2 linked regions of the Astyanax mexicanus genome follow. The protein of the gene in region 2 interacts with the protein of the main gene of each other region in a biochemical or structural test. Links are inferred from orthologs where the notes say so. Each region holds a gene or a part of one and is shown on either strand. Other genes may lie near its edges.

The links.
Region 1: the proteins of E3 ubiquitin-protein ligase NHLRC1 (region 2) and epm2a form a complex in vitro, tested with the Homo sapiens proteins (3 studies listed by BioGRID, with this or other methods). The link is inferred for Astyanax mexicanus from reciprocal best matches to the Homo sapiens genes NHLRC1 and EPM2A.

What each region holds. Positions count from the first base shown.
Region 1 is NC_064420.1:13,240,882-13,252,092, forward strand, and holds the start of epm2a (laforin), read right to left. Parts: upstream 5,654-11,211; 5' UTR 5,368-5,653; coding exon 5,118-5,367; intron 1-5,117. UniProt on the Homo sapiens protein: Plays an important role in preventing glycogen hyperphosphorylation and the formation of insoluble aggregates, via its activity as glycogen phosphatase, and by promoting the ubiquitination of proteins involved in glycogen metabolism via its interaction with the E3 ubiquitin ligase NHLRC1/malin.
Region 2 is NC_064408.1:123,013,550-123,024,760, reverse strand, and holds E3 ubiquitin-protein ligase NHLRC1, read right to left. Parts: upstream 5,766-11,211; 5' UTR 5,439-5,765; coding exon 4,110-5,438; 3' UTR 2,938-4,109; downstream 1-2,937. Other genes in the region: kinesin-like protein KIF13A, read right to left, coding at 142-196. UniProt on the Homo sapiens protein: E3 ubiquitin-protein ligase. Together with the phosphatase EPM2A/laforin, appears to be involved in the clearance of toxic polyglucosan and protein aggregates via multiple pathways.

The DNA.
Region 1 (11,211 bases), on a different chromosome or scaffold from region 2:
GCACACCACACACACACACCCACTAGTATTGTTGGTTCTACATCATTACGAAGCGTTTCTGAATTACCTGTCTCTGCTTTTTTCGTGTATGACCTTGCCTTTTGTTTTCTCGACGCTGATTATTGCCTTTGCCTCTGATATTGGATTTTTTTTGTGTTTGACCTGGACTGTGTTTTCACTACTGCCTCTTGGATTATCTCTGCTGCTGGATATCTGCTGCTGGTATGAACTCTGGACTGTTTCATGGTTATGGTATGGTTTTGTCTACGTTGCTCCTGTTATTGGTGATCACCTGTTTTTCTGTACCGACCACGATCTACCTTTGTTTATTCTATAATAAACATTGTTTTATCAGTATCTGTACGTGTCTGCATTCTGTACAAACCATGACAAAAAGCTTGTTTTGTGTCCATTACTGTTATTATTATTGTTGTTGATATAAAAAAAGAAATGCACACTTAAATTAATATACAGCTCTGGAAAAACATAAGAGACCACTTAAAAATTATGAGTTTCTTTGGTTTTACCAAATTGAAAACAATTGGAATATAATTAAGAGGAAGATGGATGATCACAAGCCATCAAACCAAGCTGAACTGCTTGAATTATTGCACCAGAATTGACATGAAGTTATCCAAAAGCAGTGTGTAAGACTGGTGGAGGAGAACATGCCAAGATGCATGCAAACTGTGATTTAAAAACAGGGTTATTGCACCAATTATTGATTTGTGAACTCTTAAAACTTTATGAATATGAACTTGTTTTCTTTGCATTATTTGAGGTCTGAAAGCTCTGCATCTTTTTTGTTATTTCAGCCATTTCTCATTTTCTGCAAATAAATGCTCTAAATGACAATATTTTTATTTGATATTTAAGAGAAATGTCAGGAGTTTATAGAATAAAACAAAAATGTTAAGTTAACTCAAACATAAACCTGTAGCAAAATAAGAGAAACTGATTCAGAAACTTAAGTGATCTCTTAATCTTTTCCAGAGCTGTATATTTATATTAATAAATACTAGACCAGGTACGTTGGCAAAACATTTTGATTTGTTTTGATATAATTTTCTCTCATATAAATAATACACAGTACTCTGTGCTGGTAGTTTAGAATTTCTCTTAATAGCAACCTAGCTGCTAAGTTTAACACCAGATTCCCATTATGTCCAAAAGTGGAGTGACTGTCTAATTCACATTATGTCAAAATATAAAAAAATGCTTTAAAATGCAGAAACAGTCAGATCTACATTAAAATAATAGACAGCATATGCTGTGGACTCAAGCATGTAATAAATTTATATGATCTATAACTGATCAGTATATGAGTGCATTAATACTCTGGGTGTTAAGTGTTGTGCATTAACCTAATAGGGTTGTAATCAGCCACACTTTGGCCAACTACTTGGCCAGTTGGCCCACAGAGAATCCCAAATGCCATAAATGATGAATTTTAGCATACTGAAGATGATAAAGCTTCTTAGTTCTTTATGAACTAGTTCTAGTCATTCACACAGACTAAACATCATTTAAAAAGTCTTGGTGACGAACATACGCTTGACTGGTCTTCAGATTTGATGAGGCCTGCTGGGAAAACTCAGACATGTCATTCTAATGCTTGAGCCAAGCCTAGAATTGATAGCCTGGGAAGTCTGCCTGATAGCCTGAGTATGACAGCACTGTCCAAAGAGCATAAATGAGGTCTTTGCAGGGCCCTTAGGAGACAAAATCCTCACACCCTGATAGGGCAGTGCTGAAGGGACCAACTAATGGACACTTTGTTCACAACATGTCTACGGTATTGTCATTCTAAATAAAGTAAAATGACAGCAGCAATTACGGCGTAATAAATAGTTATGACCCTATTTATTTTGTTGATTATGTTATCATCCATTGTGTTTGTTTTAGGGCTGTCAACATTAAAGCATTGATGCGAATAATTTGGAATCAATAATGCGGTATTTATATTTTACGTAATTAGTTAAGCCACCAAGTTTGACCCCAACTCCCCCTGTAATTTGCCCATGGAGGGGTTCGCATGTGGTGAAAATGTGATCAAATATACTTCTTTTTAATCGAGCTAAACTGCTGATAAAATGCAGTTTAATCTGACATATTAGCCAGATAATATACTGCTATGAACAAACACAGTCTCTGATGCTCCATGCTGTTCACATTGAGGGTGATATGTGCAGCGTTCACTACTTGCTGCCATGCTGCACGTCACGTTGAAAACAGTTTGTTTAAAAGCACAGCAGCAAATTTTCAGTGTTCTGTGTTAAAGCAGCACTGTCACTGCACATATATACACCCTGGAACACAGAATCTTCTCACAATATTTACTTTCTTGCTCCCGCGACAGACAGCTCTGACCAATCAGAGGAGACAAAATGCTCACTTAATTGGAACCCTAGTTATTGAGAAACATTTTTTTTGTTTTTATAGCACCACCTATCGTTTAATTGGGGTGAAACCTGAATGCCTTTCAAAGAATTATGTGTTTAGCAAAACTCTTAATTTTAATCTTAACTCTTAATCTTGATTTTAAGCCATTTATCTTAACTAATCTCCACCCCAGGATGACTAATTTGCATATAGCAGCAATGTTAATAAATATGAACATTTAAATAAATCTTGATCAAAATCACTCTGCTGAACATTTTGATACCTATATTGTCTATAATAATATATGTATATAATTTAAAAATCAACAAACAGTAGAAAAAATATGTTTTGTAGATTTTGCTAAATATGGCAGTGGTGGATGTGGGCGGAGCTAAAAACTTACAATGAGTCGTTAATGCAGAAAACTTGCCGGAATAAGATTCAAAATGTTTCACTCTACATGTCACAGTTGCTGAGATACTAACCCAAATTCAAAACATTGCTTTATAGTGCCACCATCAGGCCAACTTAGGTCATTTCTTTTGCCTGAGTAGTGGGTACATTACAGTACCTCTCTGCCAAATTTAAAGTTTGGATGACCTTCAATACTGCTCTACAACATTTTTTAAAGAATAAAAATAATAATAAGAAAACTCTGAGCAATTCCAATAGGGTTCCAACACCTACGGTGCTTGGACCCCTAATTTAGACACTGTCAGATTACCAAAAAGCAATCAAATGATAAAAATGATAAAACTGACACAGTCACATTTTGTAAAAAAGTGAACAAATTAAATGTGCAGTTTTTTCAAATACATTTTGACAGTTTGACAAAGACAATAAGCATTTGATGCATTTTATGTAGAATTTTTCAGCCCCTATTTTGCCCAGCAGTGTAGCTTAGTAAACACTGCAGAACGTAATGTCTGATTTACATAACTAGAAATATGTTAAATTATTTTAATTCTAACACAGATGACAACACTCCCTTCTATTTCCTTATATATTTAACCTATTTCCATATATTTAACAAGGAGGTTCTTACAACAAATTCACATGTTTTAACTTTATTATGCTCTGCCTCTGGCTAATTCATCTGTGATTTTGATACATATTTTTTAAACTGATTTTCAATCCTGCCTGGTTTTGTAACCAAAGGCGGTTCTTTAATTAGGCAAACCTAGGCATTTGCCTAGGGCCTCAACCAAATCTGTCCTCCATAGGGGCCCCCAAATCTGACCATCCCAGCTACAGTAAATACACCAAAAACAATTTTAATTTGTTACTTATGTAAAGAAAAGAAAAAACATATTTTTATTAAAAAAACAACAGAAATATCAGTAGAATACCAAGTTAATGTCTAAATACTAATGGTCCAAACACACATACCCCCCCCTCCGTTGCTTGCATTGAACTAGTCCATAATATGATGACGTAGCAATGTGCCACACGACGTGACTTTAAACCAAAACAGCGGGAACTGTACGCGACTAGAGTGAGAGCTGTCACAGTGAAAATGAAGCGGAGTTATGAAAGTGGTTCTGCTAAACTAAAGAAACGGACAGAGAGCAAAAGAATCGCAGATGCACTGCCAAAATTCACCTCCTTTTTTATCAGTGATCAGTGTTTTTGGGGCCGATTCTGATCGCCGATCACCTTTCACCACGATCGGCCGATCGCCGATACTGATATTGGTTGGGGCCAAATGCCACATTAATGCCACACAGGTGGCAGACAAACCTGGTACAGAGCTCTGATTAACTGCTTAACCGTAAACTCCTGAATCAGATTGGCTAAAATCAGAAGAATATCTGCCGATCGCCTATACCGTATTTTGGCTGAAAATCAGCCGATACCGATACACTGCCGATCGATCGTTCCATTTCTAGTTATTTGGTTTATGTGTGTGTTTTAAGAATTAGGGCCCCTTGTTTATATTTTGCCTAGGGACCCAAAATGGCTAGATCTGCCCCTGGTTGTAACCTAGGGGGCCATCACATACAACAGTCGGCTACCTGCAGTAGAAATATGAGGAAAACTAACAGCTTAGCAATGTGATTCAGGGTTTCCAGGAAAATGCTCTTTCACACACAGCAAAGCTTCCGAGGACTGTATCTAGAGGATTTCTATTCAAGCATCACATATAAAGGTTTCATGTTTGAAAAAAACATTACTAAAAATCCTAATTGTGAATGTAATATAAAATATTTAAAGTCAATTTGAAAATACTGTATACTGAATAAAAATCATAAAATCAAAAATTTTTTCTGAATACAAATCAAACATTTCATGTCCTCCAAACAGTTTGTTTTGTTATGGTTGTCTAGTTTTTATATGTTTTTTCAAACATGCAGAATTTGGGTTGATTTGTGTAATTGATCAAAAATGTGTGAACAGGAAGCTTCTCCTTTTAGGAGACCCCCAATCTTGTAGGAGACCCCAAAGCCCTCAATGTTTTCAGAATGTAAATTACTTCAAAATTATATTACAGTAAAAATTATATCCAGTCTGCCTTTTATTTCAAAAGTAGGGTGTAAATTGTATGACTATGACAAAAATAGATAAATGAGTATATACAAGAGGAATTGTATAATAAATTCTTGTTATAAAATGTGGCTTCAAGTTTTGAGGTTGTTATTGTTTATATATATATATATATATATATATATATATATAATGTATTAATAAAGTCCACTCGGTTGAATATGTGAGTACTGAGGATTATATGTTGATACCTTCCCACACATAGTTCCCGTCGACCCGCTGTATGAACTTGAACCAGTGCTTGTCGGTGAACGGCTCGGCGAGCTGCACCTGGCCGGTCCACAGGCAGGGTTCGCGGGTGGACAGCAGCGGCCGCGCCGCGCTCATCCGGACGGCTTTATCGGGGCTCCAGTGGCCGAGCTCCGGGCGGGAGCCCAGCACAAACACCTCCGTGTCCGGGCGGGCGGGGGTCAGAATCACCCCGAACCTGAAAACCAGCATCTCTAACAGGGACTGAGAGCAGCGCGGGTTCAGTCCGGGTCTATAGAGCCGGTGTGTGAGAGACCTCTGACATTAAAGAGCAGCGGAGAAAAACCCGGAGCTAAAAATACCGCCAGCACAGGAGCTCTGCCGCGTTCCGCTCGAGCTGCGAGAATAACGGCTGTCTGATTAATGATTATTTATTAATGAAGGCTTAAACCTATTGTATTTAACCTTCTGGATGGTTGTTAAATTCTGTTAAACTCAGATACTCGTGTGGGTTCAGCTCGCTTGTTTTGTTTAAGTTGTAGTTTTTAAACCGACGCATTACAACGCAGCCGGCCCTGAACACGCTCGCTAAAAACTACAATTCCCATAATGCATTAGAGAGTAAATCTGCAGACTAGCAACAGCTAGAGGACAGGAAGGTTACTGTTATAATCACTGAAATGATTATTTATGTAAAATGATCCTGTAAGGTGAGCATTTTTAAATATGTGATTAAAAATATTTTAAAAATAGTTTTCTTCTTCTGATTTACTTCTGATCACTGTATTCGTCAGCTATATAATATACAGTTGCAAGAAAAAGTATGTGAACTCTTTGGGATTACATGGATTTCTGTATAATTTGGTCATTAATGGGTTCTAATCTTCATCTAAGTCACAACAATAGACAAACACAGTATGCTTAAAAAATAATAAATATATATGTTTTCATGGTTTTATTAAACACAACATGTTAACATTTACAGGACAAGTGGAAAATATGCGAACCTTTGGATTTAATAACTGGTTGACCCTCCTTTGGCAGAAATAACCTCAACCAAACGTTTCCTGTAGCTACAGATCAGACCTGCACAACAATCAGGAGGAATTTTTGGACCATTCCCCAAACAAAACTGTTTCAGTTCAGCAATATTTTTGGGATATCTGGTGTAAATCTCTCTTTAGGTCATGCCACAGCATCTCAACTGGGTTAAGGTCCTGCAAAATGTCTTGGTAAACTTGAGAACTCATGATGAGGGCAATCCCTCTTGTTATCATGATTTACTACAACCAAGTTCATTTCACACTGTATTTCTCCTTTAATCCCTATTAGTCGTAGCACAGTCCAGATAGCATGCCCTTGTGGGACCTGTGTAACTAGCCCCAATGGGATCTAGATGTTTTTTTTTTTCATCAGGTTCCATGTTGGCACCACATGTAGATGTCAGTGATGGGCCCAATCAGGATTATTAATGGGACCAGAAGGGGTTAAACATGGGCCCCATCTGGGTTGTACAATGCACACAGGACCTAGATAGGACACATGTGAGATTAGGACACATGTGAGATTAAGACTTTAATGGTGAGACAGGCTGGGTCCCAGTAAAAACACATATACAATCTCACTCATGCCCATCTAAAGCCCAATGAAACGCACCTAGCCCACATTACAGCCATTTGTGGCCCACATGTGCATGTTGGATGGGTGCGGTACACATCACCATAATTTTTTAGCATGGTAAAAAAGCTGTGATGCCTGTGTCAGCATCAGTGGTCTACACAAGGGATGTCCAGTACAGGCCTAAGACATTAAAAAACTGAAATGTCCTTATTTACTTGAAAACAGGAGAAGCTATTGGCTTACATTGCTATCAAACACAGGATTTATACTGTCCTCAGATTTTGGATAACATTTGACAAAATTTTACTTTTTTTGTTTTTTACCTATTTATTCAAACACCATGAATAGATTTAAACAGCTAAGCCAACATTAAAACTTCATTTTTATCTGCATAATGTGCCATTTATTGTCTAGTTGTTTACAATGGCCAGTCCATCGTACAACTACCTGCCAAAAATAAATTAAAATATATAAAAATACTGCCCAGACTATATCATGTTAATAACTATAGAAGCTTAACCCAAAAATATCATGACTTATTACATGCATCTGGGCTTAATGACCAACCTTTTTAATTAGATTTTATTAACTGGTTTATTCCTTATAAGCTGCCTTTAAGTAAAAATTTATTAACATAGATTCCCTGGTCAATGACACCAGCCTCAGGAAAAGCCACAAATAGACATGAAGAGTTGGCTTTTGGTGTGGTACAACAAGCAAAATCAGGTTCAGGAAACATATATTGTGTAGACTCACTCAACCAAACAACTGACCTTTCTGAGTAAAGGCTACAACAGAATGGACCACAGTTCAGTGGCTCCAAACAAAATACTTATGTGTTCTGGGGTCACTGAGTTTTCTAATAACTCCAGAGATGCTCCTCTTTTCAACTCCTTATGTGTGGTGGGGAACAACCAACAGACCCTTAATATTTTTGTGCAGTCTATTTCTGATGCTAGATGCATTGCTATCAAAATATTGTACATTCTGGCACTCAATTAAAAAAAAATATATATATATATATATATATATATATATATATATATATATATATATATATATATATATATATATATATATATATATATATATATATATATATATATATTCAGTGACCCATCATGTGATGTGTGATATAGTAGTTTAGTTTTGTTGTATAGACATCCCAGGGAAAATGTACTCAGTGGCTGCGTCCAGAAACTTTTGCTACTCCTCCTCTCCTACCCCGGAAGAAGGTGGAGGAATCGAGGAGAGGAGAGGAGGAGGAGGAATGGAGGGAAGGAGCTGTAATTGGGGAAATGGGACAGCTGATCCCTTTTAGATAGGATGTTGACTACCGTTGAACTGAGCCAATCACAACGCTCACAGTTTCCTCATCAGTCCCTAAGTTAAAATAAATAAGTAAATAAATGAATAAATTAAATAAAATTAATTCGTAAAAAAAAAATTATATATATATATATATATATATATATATTATAAATAATATATGTTTTTATATGTATAACATGATACACATAGGGTCATAAATATAGTTTTACTGAGCATACAGTTTATCTAAACTATAAATTATGTTACTGCTTTACTGGCTGTTTAATTAGATAAGGAACCTAGTTAATTAATATGTTTATGACGTATATTTGGGTGTTGCCTTCCCCATTTTCGCGTGCTCTGTGGGCGTGGATGCAGTGATGTCATTGGAAAATCCTTAAAAGTCTTCTGGAGTAGGATACACTGATGTACCCTCCGTTGGAAGCCTACTACAGGTGGATTTTAAGCGGCTTATTTCGTCTCCTACGGTATGCGCATTTGCAGGTGATAAATAATCAAAACGTTAGATTGGGTGTTTGGGTAACAACAGTATCTAAACCCCAGTCTCCAGAAAGTTTAGCTATTTTTATTGCAGACAGGCGAGAGCGTGGGACAGTTAATGTGATTTGTTAATGCTGTCAGCTATTCATTTAATTAATTTAAGAAAAACTTTGGAATTTACTTTGAAGTATATTCTTATTCTTTTCCTTATTTTTCATCTTCCTTTTTTTTCTTCTGCTTCTTAATTTAGCTTCTTTTTTTTTTTTTTTTTTAGAATTTTAGCAGAAAACTTTATGTATAATTCAAACTGTACTGTATCCTGGTGTAGAAGATCCGCATGCTGAGGGATAGACTTTAAAAGAAAGAGGCAGAAAAAGTTTAGCAAAGTTTGGTGGCTTGTTACCTTTTCGAATATTAATTTAATTCATAAGAAATTTACTTTAAGGTATTATTATTATTATTATTATTATTGTTGTTGTTGTTGTTGTGTTTGTTGTTGTTAGTAGTATTAATTAAAATATTATTTTATTAAAACACATAAATATTAAACACTGAAACAAGATATAAAAAAAATCACATTCTCTTCATTTACCACATTTACCACATTTTTTTGGTTTATGATGGAAAAACAACTATTAAACACCTTTTTATTTAACATTGCCTAGTGGTATTATTGTTGAAACACTTACATAGAATCAGTATTCTTTTAAAGGTTTTAAATTGTTTTTCTTTTCTTTTATCTTTTTTCTAATCTTACAATGCTTTTAGTTTTTTTTCTGTATTTCTTTTTTTAATTTAACCTGTAATTTAACCCTCCTGTTATATTATGGGTTAAATGTGCAACCACACCCTGCAAAATATGGAGGGTTATTTGTGAAATTATGATATCAGTAAATTAATAAAGAAATAATTGATTAAAACGCTAAATAAATATTTAAAATGAGATTTAATTAATTAAATTATTAATTTATTTAATTATAAATTTATTTCATAGTTGACTGTGATATTTAGATTTAAATAATTGTTTAACTTAAATAATTTAATTCATTATTTAAATATGTATTTCATTATTTCATGCACTATGAAAAAAAAAAATATCTGTCAACATCAACCATCAAACTCTGTGGGCGGGCCTAACTCTCATCGATGCAGACTGATTGGTTAGATTGCACAGTAAGTCATAAAAGAACGATTACAGATGCTCGAGAGCAGCTCTATCAAGCCTCTATAACCTCGTGTGTTTGATCAGTGACAGTGTCTGGGGCTGTAGCCCCTGATTCAGTTTCCTCAGCTTGCCGTAAGATATTCCTAACCAACTCCCGAGAAATGTCCTGCAGATCCACGAAGAGAGCCGCCATGCTGAGGAAAACAATCACAGCAGGCCGGAGCAATCAGTCAGCATCGATGGGAGTCGTCATATACATTTTTTTAAGTTAAATATTTAATGAAATACAAATATATCCATTAACTAACGAAACATTTAATTATTTATGCTTCATTTTCATATTTAAATAAACAAAAAAATTAAGTAATTAAATATTCATTTAAATATTTACTTAATGTTTTAAGCAATTATTTCTTTATTCATTTATTTTTATAATATTGTCACAAATAACCCTCCATAGCAAAAACAGGAACTACTGTGTTTTATTTGTTGTTCTTTCAAAAGTAATAAAGTAGCGAAACATTAAAAAGGAAAAAAGGAGGTAAGGAACACCATTGCAATAAATATTGATGGAAAAATTAGAAATTAAGTTAGTAATGAAATATTCACACTGCTTGTTAGGATTTGTTTGGTTTCAGACATCTTTTGGAAAATTAAACATGCACCAGGTCAAACTGACCCGGGAACACCACTGCTGTTCCTGACAAATGAACATTACAGGAGGGTTAACCAGGCAAATCATTAAGAACCTGGCAAAGGTGAAAGGTGCTCCCCGCAAATAACTATTTTGATTTTGATAATTATTATTTAAATGTCCCTTTCTAAACTGCATACCCAAAGTACAAGATATACAAACAGAATACAAACAATACATACATATTTAATGTAAGCAAAGTTTAATACAAACCATACATATTCAACCATAATGTTGAATTAATGTAAAATCGTTGTGTACAAAAAATAAATATTGACTTTAGATATCAATGGTGTTTTAATGTGTGAGAGATGGAAAAAATAACGCTGATTCATTGTCCTTTTGCTATCTGGGTGGCCACTTAATTTTTTTCCCGCTATATCAAATAAGGGAGCCCGCGAGTGAGACCTTAATAGATAGGGTGATAATAATACTTAGTATTCAAAGTAGCCTAATAAAAGTTACTTTTAAAATTTTGTACTGTAAAACTACTCATCTAAATAACTAATTCCTCACTTGATCTACTGCAGCGTATGAAGCTTTTAGTTTCTTATTTTTATTTCCATTCCACCATAACAGTTTCCCTGAATTAAAACACATTTTCTCTTTGTTAAAACACAGTTCCCTCTTTAGACTGTAGTAGATGATAAAGTGGTTTAAGTATTTTACACATTTCTGCTTAGGGTGTGCAGAAATCATAAACGGTCCATATAAAACAGAACATGGATTCCCATTTGAATGTTCTGTTCCACCTTAAAAGGGCCAAAAATAGCATCTACAGCCTGAAGCCTGTGTGCCGCCACAG
Region 2 (11,211 bases):
ACTTAACCTAGTTATTAGTTAGTGTTGTAACTATGCTGGAGCATGAGCCTGATGGAGCATTGGAAGTGAATTTTAAAAAGCTAATATCTGATCAATCTGATCAAATATCTGCCCCAAATTAAGGACAAGGCTTGTACTCACCTCTCCGGTTCATTGGGCGAACTCTCACCGCGACTTTTACCTTAGTATCCGACATTTTTACGCACTTTTAGCGTTGTTTTCCTTCTTTTTCCCAGACCCCCGTAGCTCTAGTCCACTAGCTAGCAACGTTACCGGACGGCTAGCCCAGCAAAGTCCCGCTCATAAAACAGCCTCTCCTGAAGTCTCTGCAGGCTAAACGGTGGAAAATCCCACCTGAAAAGAAGCCCACCATTCCCGGCAAGAGAAATAATCACAACCCGAGCATTCCCCCGCAGTTTCCAGCCCGCTATCTGCCCGAAAACAGCCGCAGCGCCGCTCCGGCTCCGGCTCCTCTCAGCATCCAGACCGCCATCTTCCACACTTCTCTCCAGTGGAAACCCTGCCCAGCGCTTCTTCACCCGCTCCAAACCCCCCAACTCCACCACGAACCGCTCCTCAAACACCCGGAGAACTTTATAAAAACCCTTAACTACCCGCACAAACTCCAAACACCCCCCAACACCGCCGGAAAACACGGCCGAGGCGAGGGAGAGCTCAGCGGGGGACTGCAGCTCCGCTCCCCGGGGATACAGCGGGGTCTCCGGCGTCTCAAACTACCGGCCACCCCGTGCACTGGTGCACTGCCCCCCGGTCAACCAGGCCTCCTTGCCTTCTTCACCTTTACCCACATTTATTCACACTTTTATATATTTATCCACGTTTTACATCACTTTTACACATTCTAACCCTTTAATCTACTCAACAACTTTACAAAAACTTAATGAATAATGCACATTTTAGATTTGCTGATTCATTATTTATACGTTTTGTCAGGGTACCCCCAAAATATGAGCCTGACCAGCCACTTATCTCAGTCACAAAAGTTGCTCATATCTGTTTTTTGTTATATAACTCTATATAACTGTATAACATTAGAATACTAAATCCAGATAAACATAAACCATAAAGTGGTCAGTGAGAGTATCTAAGGTTGCCTGTAATTAACTCTATATTACATAGAAAATAAAAATTACCATAATTAAACATAATGTCAGTTGTAAGAATTAACTCTATATAACATCAGAATAAATCTAAATAAACACTAACTCAGTGATCAGTGAAAGAGTCTACCTGTAATAAACCCAAATAAACATAAGACAGTTGTAGGAATTAACTCAATATAACATTAGAATTAATCGAAATAAACAAAGTGAGTGGTCGGTGAGAGTGTCTACCTGTAATTAACTCTATATCAATACAAACTACCAGCCACTCCATGAACCGCCACCCACACTTTTAGATCTTTATCCACGGTTTTACATCACTTTTACAGCTTTATAAACTTTAATCTACTCCACAACTCCACTATAATTTAGTGAATGATGCAGATTTTAGATTTGCGGATTCATTAATTATACGTTTTGTCAGGGTATCCCCAAACTATGAGCCTGACCAGCCACTTATCTCATTCACAAAAGTAGTTCTACAGGCAAATAAAAGTTTGTTTTAACGACATTTGCCTGTAAAACTTTAGAACGTAACTTTATAACAATAGAATAAACTTAAATAAACATGAAGTCAGCAATCAGTGAGTGTACACCTGTTAATAAATTTATATAACATATAGCGTAAAATAAGCTCAAATAAATATAGAGTAAGTTGTAAGACTTAACTCTATGTAACATGAGAATGAACCTAAGTAAACATAAAGTCAGTTGTAAGAATTAACTCTACGTAACATTAGAATGAACCCAAATAAACAAAGTTAGTGGTCAGTAAGAGTGTCTACCTGTAAAACTCTACTATAATTTAGTAAATTATGCAGATTTTAGATTTGCTGATTCATTATTTATACACTTTGTCAGGGTACCCCCAAAACAGGAGCCTGGCCAGCCACTTATCTCAGTCACAAAAGTAGTCTAAAACTTTTAATAATGACATTAAAACTAACTTTTATTTGCCTGTAAAATTTTATAACGTTAGAATGAACCCAAATAAACAAAGTTAGTGATCAGTGAGAGTGTCTACCTGTAATTAACTCTATATAACATTAGAAAACTAAACCCAAATAAACATTAATAAAGTCAGTGATCAGTGAGAGTATCTACCCGTAATTAACTTTAATTAACTCTATATATAAAGTAAAATAAGCTCAAATAAACAAAAGTCAGTTGTAAGAATTTATTCTATATAACATTAGAATAAACCCAAATAATTGTAAACTCATTGGTCAGTGATTTTATCTACCTGTAATTAACTCTATATAAATACACATAGATAATCATAGATAGATAATCATATCTAGAGTGGCTTAAACTACCGGCCACTCAATAAACTGCCCTTGGTCAACTAGGGCTTCTTCAGACCTTTACCGACTTTTATCCACACTTTTAGATCTTTATCCACAGGTTTAGATTACTTTTACAGCTATAAAAACTTTGATCTACTCAACAACTCCGCTATGACATACTAAATTATTCAGATTTTAGATTTGCTGATTAATTATTTATCATTTTTGTCAGAGTACCGCCAAAAATATAAGCCTGATTCGCCACTGATCTCAGTTACAAAAATAGTCTAAAACTTTTAATAATGTAATTTTAACAAATTTTTATTTGCATGTAAAACGTATTACATATCTAAACCCAAATAAACATAAAGTCAGTGATCAGAGAGTGTCTACCTGTAATTAACTCTATATAACATTAGAATAATAAATCCAAATAAACATAAAGTAAGTGGCCCAATATAGTTACAGCGTATAGTATCAGTAGTACTGTGTAAGCTTCTTTAATAATGTAAATTATTTATATATAAAGTTTAAAGCACAGAATAAATGAATTCAAACCGATATTTTATGTATTTCTCTTTAATACCTGAATCCAGTTAATTCCAGGTTCTACAGTTCATTGACAGTTTATAAATTAGTGCAAATACTTCCATATTCCAAGTATTGGTTAATTTCAAAGTTTTAATAAATAAGTTACATATGCATCAAATACCTATAAAATAGGTTGTGGCCACAACTTGTTAAATTGTTAAAAAAGACACACATTAGTAAAGAGATCGGAACCCAAATCTTCTCACATGCTACTAAACTGTGGCCATTACTTATCTAATTCCTATGCTTTACTAAGTTGTGGTCACAATATTTAATTATCTTGTTACCACATGGTAAAAAGTTGTGTCTACAACTACTGTGTCTATCCCAACATCTTACTATGTAGCGGCCACAACATAATGATTATTTTCCATGACTTATTTAGTTGTAGCCAAGAAACAAGACGTTATCTTATTATTATAGCCTATTAAATTGTGGCCACAACATAATTATCTCATTAACATGGCTTACTATGGCTTTAAGTTGTGGCCTTCACTTGATTATCTTAGTCCCGTATTTTAGTAAGTCTTGACATCCCCACAACATATTGAATCATTGCCACAACATAATTTTCAATACATTCTCATAATTTATTAAGTTGTGGCCACTAATTGACATGAATTACATCGTTACTATGTCTTACTAAGTTTTTGCCACAGAATAATTATCTTGTTCCCATACCTTACTCATTTGGGGCTATAAAATAACTACCAAATTGGCATTACAGTGTGATGATCTCTTTCCCAAGTCTTACTAAGTTGTGGCCATAACTTAATTATTTAATTTCCACAGCTCACCAAGTCGTGGCCACAACTTAATATTTTGTTCCTATATAATTAAGTTGTAGCTATCAGTCAATTGGCTTAATTATTAAATTTCATTGCCTTACTAAAGTTGTGGCTATGACTTAATTATCTTAATTATGTTTAATCTCTTTTCTACACCTTAACAAATTATGGCCATAGTATAATCAAATAGTTCCAATACCAGAACTTGCTAACTAAGCTGTGGCCACAAGTTATTTTTATGTATGCAGGATGTTAAAGCAAGGTTCCGTTGGGTTATCAGTACAAGCCAAAAGACAATCAAGAGCAACAGCAAGACATTTTCAGATCGATTTGATGGTTTTCGCACAGTTTGAGTTCTCTGCGCTGGTTGAGTAGATCTTCACAGTGTGATCTCCACTGTCCAAGACGATCAGAGAGTTCTGCTCAGTTGCTACTAAACCTACTGGACGCACCAGTCCATCCTGGACCAGTGCAGTCATCACAGTCGTCGTCTCCAGGTCCCCCAAACTCCATACGGTGCCTTGTTGGGAATCAGCCACAATGACATTTCCATGTCTGTCAAAGGTGACGTAGGAGATGTTCAGCTTCATTGAGGACATCTGGCTCAAGCCTGAACTGTCCACCAAAGTTAGGAGGACAAAGTCTTGGCTGAACAGCTTTAGTCGAGTTGCTGCAGAACCTCCATTGTGGCGTCTTTGGACCTCCATGTGCTCCAAGACTGCAACACACCCAGAAACTTTACATGACACTACAGCTCTTGGGCATTGAAGGTCTTGCAGAACCACCATCTTGGTTGAGACAACATTCTGTCCAAAGTCCACCTTTATTTGCCAAAGTTTGCCAGCTTGAGCGTCTGTCACGAGAATGTGCCCACAGTTGTTGATGTCAACTCCCCATGGAAGCTCAAACGGCCCAATGATAGTTGCCAAAGGAAGTCCGCTTGAAGTAAAGACCTTCACTGAACTGTCTCCAGCATCGGTCACAACAATATGACCACTGGTAGATACTGCAACATCAAGAACGTGGCACAGTTGGTCACGGTTGTGACCGTAACAACCGAAGCTGTGCAAATAGTGACCCTGAGAGTTGAAGATGTTGACCTTCTCATGGCCCCCGTGCACCACCACCACTGATGCCATTGATGGCTCGAGTACTGCGACCCCAGTTGGGTTGATGAGTGTACCCCAGCCTCCAAAAGCGGCACGAAGATGCATCTGGACGAGCAAACCTGGCGATTCTGCACTGGCTTGTGGTCCCATTCCTTCTGGGCATGGATGACCAGAGCAAGATGGGCCTGATCCAGGAACTCTGTTGGCTGAACAGCTTGGAATTCCAGCCGAAGCAACCAGGTCCTGAAGGTCAAGCAAGGCTTGGCAGTCGTAGGTGCCCCCGATATCGCACAAGCGCCTGCAGAAAGGGCACTCCAGTTGGCGCAAGACAGGGTGTGCCAGGGCACAGACACATGCCAGGCAGATCACGTGACCACAGGGCAGGTTCCTAGGTCTCCGCCCATTCTGGTCTGAGGAGAACCTTTCGAAGCAGACCTTACACTCCAGCAGGTCAGAGCGGATCTCCTGCAGAACCTCCTCTGCACCTTTTACCCTTCTAGAGGCAGAGGTGCTTGTTTGGAAGGCAGGGGTCTCAGACATGTCCAGTTTCTCCAATTTGTCCAATTATTTTTGGTGTGGAAAAGAAAAGAACAGATAGAACCATTAAAAAGAAGAAGAAGCAGAAGCTGAAGTTCTGCTACAACACCATGTTTCTATATTTACTGAATGCCTCTCTCTCCGTCATGTGATCCTGACTGTCGGAATCTAGCAATGTAGGTAATTTGCTTCCATCTATTGGCAAGAAGATGAATTACATCCCAAGAATATTTGTGTTTCAAAGCCATGAATAACATTTAAACCAACATGTTCTCTAGCAGGTAAAGTGAATAACTCTGATTTCATACTTCCAGTGGCTCCTGCCAAAGGAGGGGATCCACATATTAGACAGCGAGTGAACAGTCAGTTTTGGAAGTTGATGTGTTGAAGAAGGAAAAAAGAACAAATGGACGTAAAGACCTGGGACACTTTGAGAAGACGAACCAAACAGAATAGATAATCTCTAGAACATCATGCAGGTCTTTTGTGGGGTGTTCCTGGTATACAAATGATGAGTTTCTTTGATTTTATCTAATTGAAAACCTCTGGAATATAATCAAGATGAAGATGGATGATCACAAACCATCAAACCAAACTGAACTGCTTGATTTTTTTGCACCAGGGGTAAAGCAGCATACAGTTATCCAAAAGCAGTGTGTAAGACTGGTGGAGGAGAACATGATGCCAAGATGCATGAAAACTGTGATTAAAACCCAGGGTTATTCCACCAAATATTGATTTCTGAACTTATGAATATGAACTTTGTATTATTTGAGGTCTGAAAGCTCTGCATCTTTTTTGTTATTTCAGTAATTTCTCATTTTCTGTAAATAAATGCTCTAAATGACAATTTTTTTTTTTTGGAATTTGGGAGAAATGTTGTCTGTAGTTTATAGAATAAAACAACAATGTTCATTTTACTCAAACATAAACCTATAAATAGCAAAATCAGAGGAAATGATTCAGAAACTGAAGTGCTCCCTTATTCTGCATTATTATAGTATTATTGGGTATTATTATTTTATAATTATATCATTCATTTCACCCCTAATTGAACCTGATCTATGCTCTGAGCTGCTGGATTTGTTTGGTACAGTACATCTGCAGTAAATTTAGATTGAAACCTGAGCTCTTTATGAGCGGGGTGTGCAGGACGTCCGTGTATTTCCGTCCAGGAGGGACACTGGACACTGTCTGGTCATCGAAACAGCCCATCAATCAGAGGGCATTCGAGACCAAATACATACCGGATACACTTTCATCTCACCAGCTTCACCCAGCTGCTCCATTCAGTCCCAGCAGATACAAGCACTGAGTAACTCAAGATATGGGTTTCTAATAAAGTGGCCAGCGAGTAAGTGGAAGCACAAGGTAATGTAGGTAGGTGTTTCTAATAAAGTGGCAAATGTGTAGGTGTTTCTTATAAAGTGGCCAGTGATTGAAAGCACAAGATAATGTAGGTAGGTGTTTCTAATAAAGTGGCCAGTGAGTGAAAGCACAAGGTAATGTAATGTAGGTAGGTGTTTCTAAAAAGTGGCCAGTGTGTAGGCGTTTCTTATAAAGTGGCCAGTGAGTGAAAGCACAATATAATGTAGGTAGGTGTTTCTAATAAAGTGGCCAGAAAGTGAGTGAAAGCACAAGGTAATGTAAATAGGTGTTTCTAATAAAGTGGCCACTGAGTGGAAGAAGCACAAGGTAATGTACGTAGGTGTTTCCAATAAAGTGGCCAGTAAGTGGAAGAAGTACTTACTGGAAACATAATGTTGGTAGGTGTTTCCAATAAAGTGGCCAGAGAGAGGAAACAAGATAATGCAATGTAGGTAGGTGTTTCTTATAAAGTGGCCATACAGTGAGTGGAAGCACAAGGTAATGTAATGTAGGTACGTGTTTCTAATAAAGTGGCCAGAGAGTGAAATTACAAGGAAAAAATGAGAAACTAGTCACAGATAGAAGAAATTTTAATTTGAAATGCAGTGAAATCCAAACAATTACGTACATAACTACACAATAACATACATATTACTGTTGTGTAAATCCATTATAAACACAGAAAAGTTGTAATATTGAAATGTACACTCTCTTTTTTCTGTATGAAATATGTATTTTTACTGTTTTCTAGCTCATGCTATGGTCCAAACGGAGATATATTTATATATTTATATTGACTAGTGTTAGCTGCACTAAACCAAACCAGTCTCAATGTAAAATCAGCAGCAGGTGGAGGTGGGATGAACTGTGGTGAAGATATGTAGATGCGAATCATAAAAGATTATAGATGTTAAAAGTGTATTCTGCTCGTAAATAAAGGCTGCATTCACATTGCATGTACAGTGGCCTTTTTACATTTTTGACCAAATCCGATGTTTTTTTTTGCTTGTTTGTTTGTTTTAATGCAACCTATATCTAACATTGGTCTGAAATGTATGCACCCATAAACTGACACTGTGCTTCACGTCAAGTTTCGGTTTTATCTCCACAAGTTACGTTTACCTAAACCATTACCAAATCATTTACAGTTATATTTCTGCATTAGGATTTATACAGGATATAAAATCTATGGTTCTTGGGGTTAATCTTTCTTTTTTTAAAGCTTTGTATTTTCCTGTGAAGTTGCAGCAAAAATGCCCTCTTTTTTCCTACTCCTTGATTTAAAACAATGAATTGCGTGTGAATTCTGTTCGGGCTGTTTAGACTAAATCCCTATCTGGTCATGATTAGTGGTCAGGAGTTTCTCTTTAATTCTACTCCGTGATTAAACTCCTGCATCTGGACTGCAACTGAAAAACACAGGAGGACCAGTGAGGTTTTTTTAGGCTTTCTCAGTCACATGACAGAGTTCAGTAGCTCCTCCATTTCCACTCGCTGTTGTGTTTTACACTGTTGTGTGGATCTCCGTGGAAACGCCCAAGCGCCCAAAGTGTAATTATGGTGCGCGGCAGTGGACAAAGCTATTTTATTAAAGGCGAGTAGACGAAACTCTGAGATGTGGATCTGAACGGGACTAAAATTACCAGAGGAGCACGGAGTTCAGGAAAACAGTAGATAATTCAGCCTGTAATTTTCTCAGAGGACGTCTGAGAAAAACACGTACATGGTCGTTCCGAAAGGGAACAAAATCACAGAGGATTAAACCCCCCCCCATAAAAGAGAAAATTACCCCAGAATCCCATCCAGATATGGCTTAAATCATATTGAAACTAAGATTTTTTTAATTTTTATTGCTACATTAAACACAGCAGGTAAACGTAGCCCAACTACAAATGTTGTTTTTAGGCATTTGGCAGTGTGAACGGTACAAAACACATTGAATCTGACATTTTTAATTCCAGTATGCCAACTTCCTGCTGTTGTGTGCTGTGTAAATGTAGCCAAATTTGACCAAATCTGATTTCTCAAGCAATGAATGATTTCCCACCGTTTTGAATAACGTAAAAACGCATTAAATCTGATATCTTCAGTTTTCCTATTTGGGCCACTTTTACATGTTTATATGTGGTACTGAAATCTGATACATATCCAAAACGTGGCAATGCGACTCAATCTAAGTAGCCAGAGTGGAATTGATGCTTTTTTTTATTTCACATCCTTCAATCCAACTTAAGAATCAAGGAAGTCAGCATGGCTGAATAACACACACGGTTGCTGGAGAAGACGAAACCGAAACTTAATGTGAAGCGCTGCTCTTTATAACATAAGCGTGAGTTTAGAAATGTGAACAGCCAAAATAAGCACCGGATTGGGTTGAGGGAGTTAGATTTAAGCGCTTTCAAACCCCGTGTGACAAGTGTTGCAAAAACGGTCCAAATTAGAATTTTATTTTCAGATAGCGATAAACACACTTAATTGAGAATCTGCAGTTCAGATTCGATTTGGACCAATTTTATGAGTAGAAGTGAAATCAGATAAATATCCAATTTGTGTCAACAAGGGCTCGGAGCGGTCCAGCAGTCTAAAGCGCTGCCACTATGATTAGGAGATCGCCGGTTCGCCGGACAGTTGTTTCGCTCTCGCTTGGTGGGTACAGTAGGCGCTCTTTCCCATAACCACTCCTAGATGATGTGGATCAGCACAAAGCTGCATCTGTGAGCTGATTTATCAGAACCGCGTTACTGCACTTTCCTCTGAGTGTTAGTGCTGTGATGCTACTCGGTAACAAAAAACCTTAAAAACATCAGATTTGATAAGAAAATCAGATTTGTGCCGTTTTCATCAGCAGTGTGAACGTAGCCCAATACTCTCTAAATCAGACATTGTCAGATTAAAGTAGACGCTCTGTTTAAAACCACCGCAAACGTAACATATGTAAAGTTAATGCAAACACATCCTGGTGCTCGCTCTACTGGTAACGGAGATTCTGTAAGTAGTAAGTGGATATGGGTCGGGGGAAAAAGGCATTTAAATGTTTTTTAAACGTTTTTTTTTTGTTTTTTTTTACAGAAGGTAAAGTAACAAACAAAAAAAAGAAACAAAAGGTTCGATGTGAACGGAACATTTTGGCAAATGAAGGCAAAGCTAAACTTCTTCAGTCAATAAAGCGTGGGGGCTCAGGCCACAACCAACAGCAGCAGGATTGTCATCAGGACTGTGCATTTCGTGGGAAATTTTACAAAGAAGTTAACAAGATATTTTAAAGCGATAGTTTGGAGAAAAATCTAATTTTTGATATCTACAGTATATGGACAAAAGTATCAAGAAGATATACCATTCTAAACCAACAGGAATTAATACAATTAATGTCCAAATACTTTAGTCCATATAGTGTATGTAAATTTATCTTCATTTTTGCTGTTTTTTTTTTAAATCAAAATATCATGATAAATCAACCATTCAACCAACATGAAAATGTTTGGACACACCATCTAAACTCTTGCTCTTCCTTTTCTTGGGCGGTCCTGATGCGTGCCAGTTATATCATTACATTTTTGATGGTCTTTTTCGACTGCACTTGAGGATTTTCTTTACTTAGTTGAGTAGTTCTTTTCATAATATGGATGTATACCAACTCTACCTCTTCACAACTTTACTTTAACTGATGCTCTCAAACACTTTATTAAGAGACAAGAAATTCAGGTAATTAACTCTTGATGAGTTCAGCACAGCTGTTAACTGAAATCAGCCTGAATTCCAGGTGGAGTGGAGCTACTTTGAAGAATCTGAAAATGGATTGACTTTAGTACAGAACATTTTTAATCAGTGAAAAATCACAGAATATAAAGTGTGTCCAAACATTTTTGAGGTCTATCACTTTAAACCTATTGAAGCCTGTTTGAAATAACCCTGCTTATTGTGATCACTCCTGAAACCAAACAGACACAATAACCTTAAAACCAGAGAAAAAAAAAGAGGCGGTATTAGAAGAGGAACAGAGGAACAGAACGTTAATAAAAGTGTTAGTTATTAGAACACACACTCATGCAGGCACATTACTGTGGAGTAAAGCTTCTACCCTCTCTGATTAACTGCTGCAGAAGAAAGGTTATATTATTCCACAAAACACAATTTATCCATTGATTTCATTATTAAAGGAATACGCCAACACTTTACCAAGCTTTAAACTGCACCCACTGACCCTTCTGATTATTAGAATAGGTACAAACATCAACCTACTGGCCCCATGCTAAAGCTAATGCAAGGAGTGGTCTATGTAGAGGGGTATAAAGACCAAGCTCTAAAGCTCTTCAGACTAGTAGAAAGTCTTTCCCATACAGTAGAGAGACAGTTACCCCAACAAAATCAGGATTAACTCTTTTTAATACCTTTGATTTTAGAATAAACA